Caenorhabditis elegans: one gene and its partner. The main gene of each other region encodes a partner of the protein of the gene in region 2 in a complex. Each region holds a gene or a part of one and is shown on either strand. Other genes may lie near its edges. The genes, in order: tmc-2 and calm-1. A codon is read from its position in the direction of its gene.

Region 1 (9,252 bases), on a different chromosome or scaffold from region 2:
CACTGAAATTGAATTGACGGAGTATTAATGATTGACATACTTGTCTATTCAAAAATTGAATGAACGCAATTATGAAAAAAAGTCAAATGGTCAAAATGGTTCCTTTAAGGTTACCAATTTTAAACTCTCTCTCTCAGTCAGATTTGTCCATTTTTTCATCTACATAATTACTTCATTGCTCCTCCTGAACTCTATTATTTTCACGAAAAACCCTCTTAATTTCCGAAGACCATCAAAAACATATAAATCTCAAATGACCGAATCATCCTCTCATTTCTCAGTTGTTAACACACCTATGTGTTACCTTGTGTTAGCTGGCACCTTTTGACACATGTTCCGTCCTTGATTAAGCTCGGATAAAAGTTCTTGATACCAATTGTACTTTGGGAAAGTTTCATTAAAATGTATGTGTAATATCTGTCTTGATTGGTTCCTGTTCATACACACCGCTGTTCTTTTAGATAATGAAGATGTATCTATCTTCTCAACTTGATTTTTAAAGAACGTAGTCATTATGTTCTTTTTTTGTAACCTCTAACCTTTTGTTGTCTCATTCTCGAGATTGGAAAAAAGTATCGAAAATTTGCCAACAAATCTAAGTTTTTGAAACAAGTTCCACGTTAGAAACTCATCACCAACAATAACAAATTTCTTCTTTTCACCCAATCCGCCACATTTTGACATGCGCTCAGTATGACAAGCTTAAAAGAAAAACACGAGTAGCATTCTGAAACGAGGATTGAACGTACGGATTGCTATAACAAGTTTGATCAAGAGCAGAGACTCTATATCTCCTGCTTATCTCTCGACAATGGTGTCCGTCCACCGGCAGAATGAGAAGAAGCATTTGTCGGGGAAGAGGATGTAACTAGCGTTGGTTCGGTGGGGGGAGATATTGCTTTGAGAGGAGAAAACGAAGGTTGACAAGAAGAGTTGAGCCTGAAGATAAAGAAGAACACCACATTTTTGTTTGATTGTCACATCCGACCGGACTACTACTTTTTTGCGTAATTTTTAGATTGTATGATTTTCTCTAATTTCACCTCTATCGAATTGCACCTGACCTTTCCGACACTTGAGAGATATGTTGTTCTTATTTTCTCTTTGAAAGTCCAAAAAGTTCGAGAGATCGCATTTCACACCATGTCCCTCAAGAAATGTTTCTATTATTCTTATCCCAAAAATTTGAAACATGAAGGAGTTTTTTATATTTTAAAACATATTTTGTATATTGTTTTTAGTTAGATTAAAAAAACATATGTTGTTGCTGCAACAGTTAGAAGTTTAAGTATTTATTCTCTGTTTCATCTTTAAAACAGATACAAATTGTTACAATTTTTACGGGTCCTTCTATGTGTATTAAATAATTGTTTCCAAAAACAAACAACATTGAGGGAAATTAAGATGTAAAAAAATAAAATAGTGGAATTGTCAAATACCATATTAAGACACCTTGCCATGTTGACACTTGATATTAAGAAATATTCAACAAATTCTCCTTTTTAAGTACTATATAATTCATTATGTGTGTACTAATTAAGTCAGGAAATTTAGAAAATACTTTTATACTTGTAAAATTATGAAAAACATGAAAATATGGTGTAAACCGTTTTTTTTAAATTCAAACCTCTTCACTTTTTACGTCTTCATTTCTCGACATTTAAAATCTCTGTTTTAACTCAAAAATTCACTTAGGATTCGAACTAATTGTTAAAAAAGAAAACATTAAAAACTAAATGGAACAACGAAGATCTTTATGACACTGATACTCAAATTTTACATCCCCTCTTAAGTTTACGACCCCTCTCCTCCTTTCCACTGCTCATTTCCTCCGCAAATGTTTTCCTAGCGATGTTCGTTTTTTTTTTTCAATTCAGACGTGCTCAATTGCGAACTTCTTACTCGCGAATTAGATCGGCAATCTGATGAGTATGTTTTGCTCTGTAGATTGGCCTCGAAAAAGAAACCGCATCAACAAGAGATTGAGACAGACGGTGGCTTGTGTTATTTGCCATCGACATCAAAATCAAACGTGAGGTGGTTGCAAACTCATCTCCAATTTGCTCTTTTCTCATCAATTGTTATCAATATCCTTCCCAGACCCGTCGTCTTTTTTCTCCTTGGCCGACGACGAGTCAAAGGCAAAAAATGTGTCTTTGCTCTGTGTTTCTTGCGTGTCTTCTGTCACAGACTACTCTTCTGTGTGCTTCTTTTCGGTCTCCAACCCGCAAAAATTTCATTCATTACATCGCTTGTTGCATTTCGAGCACCTCCCGCTGGCCGCGCTCACTATCACTTGTTTCATATCACAATTTTTACATAATGTGGCTCACACCAGACACATGGCCCGCGTCATCCACCACCATCAGATAACCGCTCTTTTCCATCTTGTTAAGTTTCTCAGACGCGCAAAAAATGACTTCACTCCGTCAATTGTCTCCGTGTTCTCTCTTAAACGTTTGCTTTTTTCTAATCATATCGCAATCGCCATTACTCACAAACCACTTCCGATCCGCAATCTTCCCGTTGTCTTTCTATGAGAGATTTAGTGCTAAAAATAAATAATATTATTGATCATCTAAGAAGCTGTCAACTGGACGCATCGAGCAGTGGACGCCGGCGTGCAGTCATCTAAAGCACGATGCCGAAATCAGGCGCTCATCAGCCTCTGGTTCGACATGACACTGATGATGGTGGGGAAACAGGACAGTCCGTTAAGTCTCTAGCGGATGTTTCTGAAGAGGAAATTGATAGTCGAATGAGTAGAAGATCGTCAGTTATTGTACGTTTTCAAACTCGCTTTGTAAATTCTTGACAATTATGCAGTATTTTATAAATAAAAATTATTTAAAAAATGAATTACAATTTCGTAAAAACTAGAAGTGAAATAAACGTTTAGTTTTCATTTGTTAAGACAAAAACGTATGCTCTTGAAATTCACAGAAACAATCAAGGTGTATAAAAACTATCAATTCAAAAATTATATAGTATTGCTCTGAAGTTGTGAAAGAGTAAAAATGTTTCCAAGTCCAGATTATAACAGCTAACACTTGTTTCATATATTTAAATTAATTTGATTTTCAGGCTGATCTGCTTTCTCTTTTTCGCCGTTCCTCCAGTGTTCTTGTTCGACCACATACACGATTAGGAAATCCCAATTTTGACGAGTGAGTTTTCCAAAAAATTTATTCACTTTCCAGCATTTTGTTCAATTTTCACATTACAGTGACGATGACGAATTCGACGAAGAAGACGACAAAGAAGCTTCGAAAGATAGGATACTCAAGAAAATTCAACAAAAGAAAGAAATTATACAAAAATTACGTGGCCAGCCGTGGTATATGAAAAGAAAACGGCGGACGTTGAAGTAAGACCGCTATGAACATTTGAGCGAAACGTCAAAATCGGAAATTTCAGAGTAGCACAAAAACATCTACAACAGCAAGAAGCAAAAGTCTCGAAAGCAAGATTATACAAAGCAGAGGCTGGTCGAAGATTGACACAAGCCAGTCGATGGTTGGATAATCTCAAAATTTATTTGATACCCTGGGAAGCAAAGATTCGAAAAATTGAAAGCCACTTTGGATCAGTTGTGTCGTCATATTTTACATTTCATCGATGGGTTCTCGGAGTTAACATCACAATCACATTTATTATGTGTATGTTCGTAGTTATACCTGAGGTGAGCTTCTACAAGCTTATAAAAACTTCAACGCTTCAAAAATAGGGCCTCCAATTTTGAACTAAAGAAAAGTTTGATGTACAATAAATGCGGGAATTGTTCGCCCGGAAAAATTTGACGTCAGCACGCTTTTAATCATGCTAAATCAGTAAAGGAATTCGCGTCTAGAAGCGTCTAAATTCCAGCAGTTTTTGATGATCAAGCCAAAATAGAACATTCTGACGTGCACGAGATTTTTTAATGATGATATGTCTTGGTTTTACACCTCAGATTATAATTTTCAGTGGCTCGCCGACTCTCGAACTCAATTCGGTGATGACAGATACAATAAGACAAAGGCCATCAAAGTAATGCCACCAGCTGTTCGTGCTCGTGCCGACGAGCTATCCACAGTCTGGGACTTTGGGGTGAGTTGTAATGATAACAGATAAAACCAATGTTCAATGGTTTTTTTTTCAGGGCTACTTTCAATACTCTTTATTATTTTACGGTTTTTACTCGAAAGAAACGTTTTTCGGAGAAACAATCAAATATCGTGTTCCAGTGGCTTATTTTTTCTGCAACATTTTTATTCTAGGATTTTCACTTTTCATCATCTTGAGGAAGTGAGTTTGAAAAAAAAAAGAAAATCAGATAGAACAGAAAAAAAAACAAACTCGTCCTAATTAAAGAATGGCGGCTAACAATCGTCGTGGGACCTTATCATCAGGAAAAACGCAACAGTATTTATTCAATTGGAAAGCTTTCACAGGCTGGGATTATACTATAGGTGAGCGTTCAGTTTTTTCGAGATTAATTTTATATTCTGAAAATTTAGGTAATCCTGAAACTGCTGGAAATGTCTATATGGCAAACGTTATAAAATTTCGTGAAGCAATAAACGATGATAAACAAAAGCCAAGTGACAAACATCCCTGGATTCGGTTTGTAGCACGTGTTCTTACAAATCTTTTCATTTGCGCAATGTATGTGTTCTCAATATGGGCCATTATGCAATGCGGAACTTTGAAAGGAGAACACTTTTTTGCGCAGGTTAGTAGTTCTTAGATGCTCAATAACACTATTAACTTATTCAGAATGCCACTGCTATAACCATTTCTCTCATTACATTAGTTTTCCCGAATATTTTTGATCTGCTGGGTAAAATTGAAAAGCTACACCCGAGAAATGCATTGAGGTTCCAACTTGGAAGGTATGTTTCAAAAAAATTTGAGCTTATGGAATTTGAGTAGAGGAATTTTTTCAGAGTGCTTGTTCTATACATTCTGAATTACTACACTCTGATTTATTCATTGATGTTGCAATTGGAGCATTTGCAGAAAGAGAAAAATGCCTCTGATAATCCAATTTCTGCACTTGGCCATCCAGGAGATGCAATAGGAAGGTTCGTGAGGTTACGCTTTTAATTAAACGGTTTCAAATAATTTATTGTAGTATGATAAGAATGGTTTGACTATTCTTTTTTTTTAAATAAAAAAACAGGAAACCGACGCTGCATACCTACAAAAGTCACTGATATAATTTATTCCAGAACAATACGTGAGACAGTGTTGCCTCGATATCCGGTAGACAACAATCCCCATACATACTACTCCTACGCCCCAGTTACAACAACTCCCATCCCTGCAACCAGTTCGTGGACAACTGTGCTTCCCGACTTTGGACCATTTGGAGTGTATAACCCGAAAGCATCAGTCACTAAGGACGATACAGTTTTCTCTTCTCCAGTTGTAGAAACGCACATGTTTGGACCAAACTCAGACTGGAATGAGACAACTGTGAATGCAGCAAGCCCAACGGGGTAATATAATTATTTGTTTTCTAATTGTAGGCATAACTTTTACAGAGCCACAACACGTGCATCACTCCGTATGTCTCAAGGAGGTCTTTGTTGGGAAACAATCATTGGCCAAGAAATAACAAAACTTGTGACAATGGACTTGTACATGACAGTCGCTTCAATTTTTCTGATTGATTTTCTTCGTGGTTTGGCATGTCGATATTTGAATTTATATTGGCCATGGGATTTGGAGAGAACATTTGTGAGTTTTTAAATTAATTTAGTCTGTATTGATTTGCTGTGTTTAAAGGGGCTCAAGACCATACCAAGTTTGGTGTTTCTGAAGTGTTAAGGACTTTTGGGCGATAAATAACTTAAAATATGGATTTTATTCTCTTTGCACATTGAAAATTGCTGTGACATTGGCAAATAGGTAAAATTTCAAATTTTAAATAATTTTATTTTAACTTATCATTTCTTAGGCCGTCATAACTTTTTTGAGAATTTTTCAATAAGTTTCATTATGAAATAGGGTGTTATTAGACAATTTTGATTCTAATAAAGCAATAAAAATAATTCGACTACACCATCTTTAACCACTGCTCACATACTTTTATTCAACATTTTATACATTTAAAATTTCAGCCTGAGTACGGAGAATTCAAAGTTGCTGAAAATGTGCTTCACTTGGTAAATAATCAAGGTAGGACAGATCAAACATTGTCTGCAAATATGCTGTTGCGTTTTTAAGGAATGATATGGCTCGGGCTCTTCTTTGTTCCACTTCTCCCAATGCTGAATAACATAAAATTGATTATCTTGATGTACATTCGAGGATGGGCTGCAATGACGTGCAATGTTCCGGCCAGTCAAATCTTTCGTGCCAGTCGTTCGTCCAACTTTTTCTTTGCACTACTAATACTGTTCCTATTCCTCTGTACACTTCCAGTCGGATTTGTTATAGCTTCAAAAACTCCGAGTAAAAGTTGTGGTCCATTTGGGTAAGAGTTTGATAAATTAAAACTTCAAATAAGTTTAATAAAAATTCAATATTTTTACATCTGTATTTTAAAGTACATCCTTAATATAAAGAAAATTGGGCTTAGCGTATATTTTTGAAGGTTCCCAATCACATATACGAATTTCAGAAATCAATCATTCTTCTACAGTGTCATTACTGATGTTCTTCATGAAAACTTAGACAAAACCCTTGTTAATGGTATCAAGTACAGTTTGTCTCCAGGAATCATTATTCCAGTTTTAGTACTGTTGTCGTAAGTTTTAAAACATTTGTAAATTTTTAAGTAGCTAAAAATTCCAGACTGGTTATATATTTCCTCATTGCAATGGTTACCGGATTATCACAAGCTAATCAAGACCTGTCATTTCAACTTATGGTGGTATGATTTTTAAAATTGTTTTATCAAAATTTAGTCCTATTCGAAATTTGACTGTCAAATGTAATGCAATGAAACATCACACTGAACATTTCCAGGAACGGACAGAAGAGAAGAAAAAAATCTTTGAGCTTGCCGGGGGAAAGAAGAAAAAGAGCAAAGACAACACATTTGGAAAACAAAAACCAAAACAATTACTACCCCCACCAACAAAAGGAGTTTCTTCTGATGATGATTCCCAGCACAATAGATCAACTGCTAAAAGTGTATCAGGTCGCCAATTTGTACCTTCATTAGGATCAGTATCAGAAGTTGATCACAGCACCGGTGAAGAACAATCTTCTGATAGTGAATCAACAACATCGTCGCTTCCGCCAAAGTTATCTCTTCGTCAGAGGTTTTTAGTATGCATTGGCTGGGCTGATCCAAATAAATATGGGCGACATGATGATATTGAAATGGAAGAAGGTGGTGGAAGGCTTCGAGAATTATCAACTGGTTCCGAAACAGATTCAGATGATGAGGATAGCGAAAAGAGGTAGTTTTTTTTATTCATATTTGCTTTTTTTCCGGGCCATTTTTTTAAAAGTAGTTTTCTTAGAAAAAATTTGTACTCGGATTTAAGTGTCACGTAGTTCCTCTAAAAGTTAATATTTTCAGAAACTCCGAAAGCAGATATCTTCTGCCACCCGACGGTTCTCGTCCAGCATCTAGAGAACGATCAGAAAATCCAAGTAAACGAAGCTCACAAAGTAGAAGAACAAGGCAAGCATCAATTATCACAGCAATCACTATTTACAAAATAATTATTTTTCAGTAATCGTGACATGTCCTACCGTACAGCTATCCAATCATTCGATCAAAACTCACAATCCGCATCAGCGTCTTCATCAAAATCTACTACTACTGCACCGTCCAATTCTGAAATGAGAATGTAAGTTTGATTGAAGGAAGACGTTTGGTTTGAATATTGTGAGAAGTTTTCGAAACGAGCACTTTTAATTTGCAGTGAGATCACAGAAAATCCACTTCACACTTACATCACACCTTTGCGAATTGAGAAAAAGTTTGTTATTGGTTTTATAACTGCTCTTATCACCTATGTTATACATTTTAGGAGCTCTGCTAGTTCATCAAGTAGCTCGCATCAGCCATCATCTTCAATTGAGAAACAAGCTGCAAGGAGGCTTCTGCAGCCAATTAGTACAACACACAATATTCGATATGGGTAAGGAATAACAATAACTTTTGGAAACCTGTTTTCACGACTTGATATTTTCAAATATACATTTCTCATTCAGTGCCTGAAATTAGCATTTAAAAAATATTATATCACTTTCTGAGCTACAGTATTATCACTACGAGCTTCACTTTGTTCGTTCATTGTTTTGTTCTGGATTTTTTTACTGATCGTATTTTTATTTCAAATGGTTGGCAGTACGTGATCAGAGACACGAAACAGGAAAATACATCACGTTTTGTGAAAAAAGACCTTTCAGATTCGATATTAGGTTTTTGACCGGCAAAAATACTTTGGTAGCTTAAGATAATCATTATAAATATTTTCAGAGTTGCTACGGTAGAAAACTCTTCCCAAGATCCAACTCGTCCTCCATCAACAGACGATTCACTTGGCGATCCTGCACTTCATGAACCACTATGGGCAAATCTGAATCCTCACAGCAGGTAGAAATGAAAAACTATATTGAAACTTTATCAATTTACCATGATTTCAGCTACACCTCTGCAATGATGTCTCCAATTATGAATGAGGTTATGTCAAATGATGAGACAACTGATGACGAGAAAGGGCGTTTGATTCCTGATAGGTAGGAAATCAGCAATACATTTTCTAATTAAACATATCGTTACATACCTTTTGCAATGTGTTAAATTAACAACTTCAGACCACCAATCCCACATTCACCAAGAGAGTTGAAAAGACTAAAACGTGAAAAAGATCAGCAATCAGAGAGCGGAAGTAAGCCGAGTGTAAGAACAAGTTGTCGTGAATACTATTTAAAGATATTGATGTTTCAGACTCCTCGACCACCTCGGTTTAGGATATCTATGTCACCTCCACGAAAGCCGCCTTCCGAAAAGAATGTAAGTAATTGGGAATAATGAAACAAAACTAGTTGTATTCATTTATTTTCAGGACTCTGACAGTTCGAATCGCAAGTATGAAATGAGAGTCGAAAAGTCGCCGAAAAAACCAAAAAAATCGGATAATGATTAATTTTTGTTGTCTTCTAATTTCATAATTAATTACTGGGTAATGTCCTATACCTTGGCTGGTCTTTCACATTTTCTATTGTTTTATTTTTAAATTTTAAAATCGTTCATACTTGGTGGTTTTTCAATGCCAATGCATTTCCAAACATTGGCGACAG
Region 2 (5,955 bases):
ATTTTTAGGCTGCCAACTATTTGGACATCAAGGGACTTCTTGATGTTACCTGCAAGACTGTTGCTAACATGATCAAGGGAAAATCTCCAGAAGAGATTCGTCGCACTTTCAACATCAAGAACGACTTCACCCCGGAAGAGGAAGAGCAAATCCGCAAAGAGAATGCCTGGTGCGAGGATTAAATTACCCTTCAGTTTGCCTATTTCTCTATTACATTTCTAAACGACATGTCGCTTCCTTCCCCTTCACACTTCACACATTGTCCTGATATGGTCTCTGTCTATTTTTTACATCATCTCTGGCAGCCCAAAAACTTCTTCCTTTTTTCACCTAATTAAAATGCATCTTTTGAATTTTAACCGCCATTCTATATTTATACCTATAAATCACCGACCGGCAAAAATTATGCAGTGTGAGATTCTCACACATTTCCTCCAATGAACATCAGTGTGTCCTTTACGTGATTGTACATGCCTAAAAATAAAGTTGATGAGACGATACAAAAAACAAACGATTTATGTAAAACATTGAAAAAAATATAACCCGTGAATGTATTTAAATTCTGATATGAAAAGTTCTAATGAAGTCAGGTGATCGAGAGACAACGTGTTCAAATTCTGCGAAGTTTATACTCGAGTCTCCATCCAAATCAGCTTCTTCAATAATTCGTTCAATTATAAATTCAACTTCTACATCACTCAGCTCATCTCTTGTTAAACTTCGAATCATTTTACTCAAATCATCATGTCCAAGAAGTTCATCTCCATCGTAATCTAAAACAATATTTTGATACTAAATTAAATATTATTACGCAGACCTCTAAGGACCGCTATTGCAATATAATTTTATCAGATATAAATGCAAAATTTATGTCATGATTGTTAAAATAACAATATGATATAATACAATTTATTTACGCGAGTTACAGTAACCCGTTGCCGGAATGGCGAGACGTTGCGCGTAAATTGTGGTGAAAATTCGCAACTATGGACGTCTACGTAATAAGAACCATATAACTTTTATGGATTGTTAATATCAAATGATTTTATGTCTAATCTCTTCCTTACCATAAATTCTGAAAGCATATTTCAGTTTTAACTGGAGTGGTGCCATTTCCGAAAACACTGAGAACATGTCCAAAAAATCGTCGAATGATAAATTTCCGCGTCCGTCTTCGGAGAAAACTTCACAGATTCGTCGTTTGAATGGATTTTCCTGAAAGTTTGTTATTGTATCACATCAAGTTGATGTGGCCGATATATAGATTTTTGATATTTCCCCCGAAGAGTACTATGGTACCCGCTCTCGTCACGAACAAAATATTTTCAAATCGCGAAAAAACAGTGTAAGCCTATAATACAGTGATACAGTAACCAATTATGCATTTTTGTATATTTGCCAGCGTTTTCTTCTGTCAAAAACATTATTCTCTTGAAAAAAAAACTTATTTAAAATTTAAATAATTGCAAATTCTATGTAAGTGAGAGAAAAAGCGCGGGAAACATGAAGAAAAATGCGAAATAACGGATAGTTGACTACGGTAATTAGAGGCGCACATTCATTTGCGCGTGCAAAATTATTTGGCCAGAGTCGGTACCGTACTTTCAGAATAAAAACGCAATAATCTGTAACTTGAGGAAAACATTATTGATAGCCACGGTAGGATTACTGCATTTTCCCAATTTTATTACGATAAAGACACTTTCACTTTTTTGTAAATAAAAGTTGCAAACTTAGCAATAGAAGTTCAAATTGAAAATCAAGAATATGTTTCAACAAAAAAGTCGTACCTTTAATTCTGGCATTTTCTCAACTTCTTCAAAAGTCAGCGTTGTAATTGCAGGCCGATTTCCTTGCATATTTGTTGGAACTTTATGTGGATTCAATGCATAAAACCTTTTGTATAGTCGAATTATGTCCTTTCTCGTGAAAAATGTGCAATCCTGAAAAGAGATATTCTACAAACTCTCATTTTGATTTATGGATGGCTGCCACTTTGTACACTTCTTTTTGAGAAAATGGACGTGCTCCGAGGAATTCAAAGAAATGAGCGTTTTGAACGAGATTCTTCGTAGCAAGATGACTTTTTTTCAACTAATAAAATTATTAATCAAACAAATAAATATTTTCATTTAAATGTGAGTGATCGAAAATCTGCTAGAGGAAGCTCCTGAAAGTGCGAGGTGGAGCTCATTAGCGAAATTATGAGTATTTTGAGCCGACATTAGGGATGCGGAATATGTTATGCATCTTTAAGTAGTACTGTAGTTCTTACTCTTTATCAATTTTCATCAGATCTTCCAGTCTTTTCGAGACCTGCAACTATGTTTTTGCCAAAAATTCAAAAATTCAGCGAATAAGTTAAAAGGCATTATTATTTATTGTAGACAAGAAATGATGTTTTCCTTGAAGATTACTAGTATAGTTTGAAAATTTTCAGGAATTTTGATAGTTTTTGAGGTAAATGGCAAAATAATGTAATGCAAGTACCATTTTATAATTACAATTTTAATTTGAGATGTAAATTTTTAAAATAAAAATAAAAACATACTTGATATTCATCTAATTGTTCTCTTGTAAAGACTCCTCCTTTTGAAAAAAGGTTTAGTTCTGACAATGAACTTGCATTGTTTCCCATCTGGTCACCTGATCTGAAATGATTACTTTTAGTTCAAAAGTTGTCTGAAAGTATTTGAAAAAAAAGTAGACACTGCCTATTGTTAAAAATAAAGTTTTGTTCGGTGAGCCCCCTGGCCCCACGGAAATCGAGGAGGAAATGAGAATGGGTTTGGGGTGGCAGACAAACCAGAAAATAGTATACAAATTGTGGAGGTTTAGAGTCAGAAAATGGTGTAACATTAGACGGGAGGCCACGGGGGGAGAAGGCGAAGAAGAAGATGCAGAAAGAGCAGGAAGAAGGCACGGAGGGACCGGGTCTATGGGAGAGAAGAAATGGGAGATGGGGGCCCCCATAGAGACTAAACGATGACACATAAAAATTAGAGACGCAGATGAGTTGGGAATACATATGTGGATAGGTGATGATTCTCAAGATGATCATGGGAATGTCCAACTCAGTTATTTTTCTTCTGTGGTTTAAAAATTAAATTCTCTGATTGTTAAATCTATTAAAATTCAACATAAGAAAATTATCAATTTTTGTTTTTCACGCCTTCAGGATCACGAGGAAGTTTATTTTTGAAAAATGGATTAACACTGCTGGAGCAAATACTACAGCATACTCAAAATAGACCAAAAAGTTTATATCTCAATTAAATAATTTGGAATGTTTTAGGTTTCCAAAATTTCCAATCAAATTTTTGTTTTTAGTACATTGCCAAATTATCAAAAAAGTTAGGACTTAAAAAATATTTATGCAAGTAAGTGGTATATACTGCAACATCTCGATGAAAAATGTATCGATTTGTTCAATTTAGAGCTTTTAAGTATTAGGATAATTAATTCAAAATTTAAAATACTTTAACTTGGAGCGTAGGAACATATAGTTCACTAACTCAAAAATGAAATTCGAAGAAGTATATTCCTAGATATTGACTTTTTGTAAATCTGAAAGAATTGGCACGGCAAATTAGGTTGATGGAAGTAGCAGAGCGTGTTTCATTCCGCATGAATACTCTCGTTTCAACCAAATTAAATTGAAACCTTTTCGAATTCTATAGCTTTTGGAGATTCATGCTCTTTTAGTGGTCATTGTGAAGTCATTCAGAACACATTTTCCTTTCACGAAATTTTAGTATAAGGCTTTCCTAGTAGACACTAAAAAGATTGCAATAAATGTGACCACCTTGTAACCTACAAAAAACATGTGAACAGATCTTTCGACAAAATAATTGAAGCCAACACTATGCAAACAAAGAACACCAGAGTTCAAATAAAAATTCAGAAGAAAAACGGACAGAAAAACAGGATGCATTCATTCATCAGGCAAGCATTTAGTTTAGAAGATACATTATCTAACACAAAAGAGCAAGCCGAGTCTCGTCCGTCTTCCTGATTTTTATACCTAAGCGCTCGCAATCGCAAAATGAATTGGAGAATGTGAATCGATTGAACCGCATCATTTTACTTATATAATTTTTTGAATGGCTAATAAAAATTATGTTGTCGAATTTTACAGCTGAAAATTCCTAATTAAGCATTATATTTATTTGGATTTTCAAGTAAAAAGATTCTCGTTCAAAAATTTCGATGTCATCTTCAGATAGTCTTCCACAAAATGCTCAAGAAGTAAGGCTTCAAACGCCTATTTGGAAGCCCGAAACCCCGAAGATTTTGATTATCAATTCGAAACGTGTTGGCAATTCTGTAAACACCTAATGTGGAAATTTTCAAATTGTTATACAAATATTTTGTAAAGTATTCTAAAGGAAATGTGAATCATAAAACATTCTTTTCAAAATTATTTCTATAAAATTATATAAATGGAATTTAAAAATATCATCATACCACAAGTTATTTTCAAAAAAAAATGAAACCGATCATACCCTGCTTGTTCATTCTCTCTCTATTCAATCCGGTAAGAAATTTGTTGAATTTTTGAGAAATATGAAAGTAATTGATATTCAGATCTTTGCGCAAACAGCATATTCGCAAGTATGTAAATTCTGCACAGGAGAATTAGAAGTTCCAACAGTTTGGAATCAGTTTCAAGTTCTGCTCAGAAGTGTGTGCAGATGGCTTACAATTGGAAAAGTGGAGTGTAAAGCAATTGTTGATACAGCTGAAATGGATGAATCTTCGTATAAAAATGTGTATCCCTATCTTGTGGAAATGAAGAACATGGCCTGTAACAAATATAAAAAGGAGTATTGTTCACTATAATTGAACTTGTGACATATTTCAGAATAAATTTGGGGTCGGTTAGTCAAATTTGCCGATAATTTAAAAAAACGCTGATTTGTCTATTTACCGATTTGCCAGAAATTAAAATTTTCGGGAAACAGGAAAACAGGAAAACAGAAAGGAGTACAGTTGTAAATTTTTTGAAATTTTCGCGTTTTTGAAACGCTTTAATTTATTAGTAAGTTATGATAACATAAGAAACATTTATGTATATTGCTCGATATTCCAGTGTAAAACTTCCAACGAAAATTGTCGAAGCAAAATTTTTATTAAATTGGCGACTTGCCAAAAATCCAAGAATTTGTATTTTTCCTAGCGTCTGTTCAGCAAGATCACAAGAGAACCAAAACTATGTTTCCCATATCGGTTTCTTGAAAGAAGGGAACTGATTTCGGTTCTCATGGTGTCTCGAAATAAAAGAGAAAAAGTCTGCTCAAATTGTATTCTTCCAAACGGTTTCCTTCGAAAAAACAATGAAGCTTCTTTTCGTTTTCCTCTTCATCTCCGCTCTTGTGGTAAGTCATTTTAAAATTTCAAGAACTGTCTAAATTTGAATATAAGAGTGATGTAATTGTTGGAAATCTATCCTATAATACAACTTATCAACATTTTGTTGAATTTTTCACCCATAGTCAAAAAGGATAAATCTCTCAGTTTTCATCTATCATAATTTTGAATATTTACGAAAAAACAACAAATTTCTATTAACTTTACACCTGTATTTTATTTGAAATATTTTTGCTTTAATCTTGTAGTGTTCAAAAATGCGGATTTGCTCTAAATTTCTCAAAAAAACATGCAATTTTCCAATTCAAAAATTTGGCAGTGTACCGAAATTTTCAAAAATCTAATGCTTTCAGATTGGTTCTGACGCCCAACTTGGCAATCTTTGTATGTTTTGCAGTGGACTCATTCAAGTTCCAGACAACTGGAATGATGCTCAATCACTTCTTAGAACGGGATGTGCGCAAAGTGGAGACGCAGCATCTGCATGTATAGGGCTTGTAAACGCAGCCGATTTGACTTCATCGTACCCAAAAATGTATCCATTCATTATGGACATAAAGAAAATGGCATGCTTCAAATTCTGTT

Evidence for each region.
Region 1: the proteins of calm-1 (region 2) and tmc-2 are in contact, whole or in part, in a cryo-EM structure (PDB 8TKP), measured with the Caenorhabditis elegans proteins. Residues at the interface, in NP_492514.2 of Caenorhabditis elegans: Ser15 (codon at 2,596), Asp26 (codon at 2,563), Glu27 (codon at 2,560), Tyr28 (codon at 2,557), Gln29 (codon at 2,554), Asp30 (codon at 1,943), Cys31 (codon at 1,940), Thr32 (codon at 1,937), Phe33 (codon at 1,934), Thr35 (codon at 1,928), Arg36 (codon at 1,925), Lys37 (codon at 1,922), Asp38 (codon at 1,919), Pro63 (codon at 1,844), Ala64 (codon at 1,841), Pro77 (codon at 1,802), Glu78 (codon at 1,799), Glu81 (codon at 1,215), Asn82 (codon at 1,212), Pro83 (codon at 1,209), Phe84 (codon at 1,206), Ile88 (codon at 1,194), Val91 (codon at 1,185), Phe92 (codon at 1,182), Ser93 (codon at 1,179), Glu94 (codon at 1,176), Asp103 (codon at 1,149), Asp107 (codon at 1,137), Phe112 (codon at 1,122), Leu118 (codon at 1,104); in NP_001335510.1 of Caenorhabditis elegans: Leu107 (codon at 3,321), Arg108 (codon at 3,324), Gly109 (codon at 3,327), Gln110 (codon at 3,330), Pro111 (codon at 3,333), Trp112 (codon at 3,336), Tyr113 (codon at 3,339), Met114 (codon at 3,342), Lys115 (codon at 3,345), Lys117 (codon at 3,351), Arg118 (codon at 3,354), Leu121 (codon at 3,363), Gln125 (codon at 3,425), Arg154 (codon at 3,512), Asn158 (codon at 3,524), Ile161 (codon at 3,533), Tyr162 (codon at 3,536), Glu167 (codon at 3,551), Ile170 (codon at 3,560), Arg171 (codon at 3,563), Glu174 (codon at 3,572), Ser179 (codon at 3,587), Val180 (codon at 3,590), Thr186 (codon at 3,608), Arg307 (codon at 4,373), Gly308 (codon at 4,376), Thr309 (codon at 4,379), Ser311 (codon at 4,385), Ser312 (codon at 4,388), Gly313 (codon at 4,391).

What each region holds. Positions count from the first base shown.
Region 1 is NC_003284.9:9,301,141-9,310,392, forward strand, and holds the start of tmc-2 (Transmembrane channel-like protein 2), read left to right. Parts: upstream 1-2,583; 5' UTR 2,584-2,641; coding exon 2,642-2,782; intron 2,783-3,084; coding exon 3,085-3,167; intron 3,168-3,226; coding exon 3,227-3,367; intron 3,368-3,417; coding exon 3,418-3,682; intron 3,683-3,966; coding exon 3,967-4,089; intron 4,090-4,141; coding exon 4,142-4,287; intron 4,288-4,353; coding exon 4,354-4,451; intron 4,452-4,499; coding exon 4,500-4,714; intron 4,715-4,758; coding exon 4,759-4,874; intron 4,875-4,928; coding exon 4,929-5,066; intron 5,067-5,213; coding exon 5,214-5,483; intron 5,484-5,528; coding exon 5,529-5,724; intron 5,725-6,107; coding exon 6,108-6,165; intron 6,166-6,213; coding exon 6,214-6,463; intron 6,464-6,610; coding exon 6,611-6,736; intron 6,737-6,783; coding exon 6,784-6,862; intron 6,863-6,957; coding exon 6,958-7,397; intron 7,398-7,519; coding exon 7,520-7,624; intron 7,625-7,676; coding exon 7,677-7,793; intron 7,794-7,868; and 14 more. UniProt on the Caenorhabditis elegans protein: Probable ion channel.
Region 2 is NC_003279.8:9,472,142-9,478,096, forward strand, and holds calm-1 (EF-hand domain-containing protein), read right to left. Parts: upstream 2,661-5,955; 5' UTR 2,639-2,660; coding exon 2,552-2,638; intron 1,944-2,551; coding exon 1,791-1,943; intron 1,216-1,790; coding exon 1,068-1,215; intron 774-1,067; coding exon 556-773; 3' UTR 501-555; downstream 1-500. Other genes in the region: skr-1 (Skp1-related protein), read left to right, coding at 9-182; F30A10.14 (Saposin B-type domain-containing protein), read left to right, coding at 4,490-4,537, 4,588-4,842; F30A10.11 (Saposin B-type domain-containing protein), read left to right, coding at 5,337-5,378, 5,724-5,955.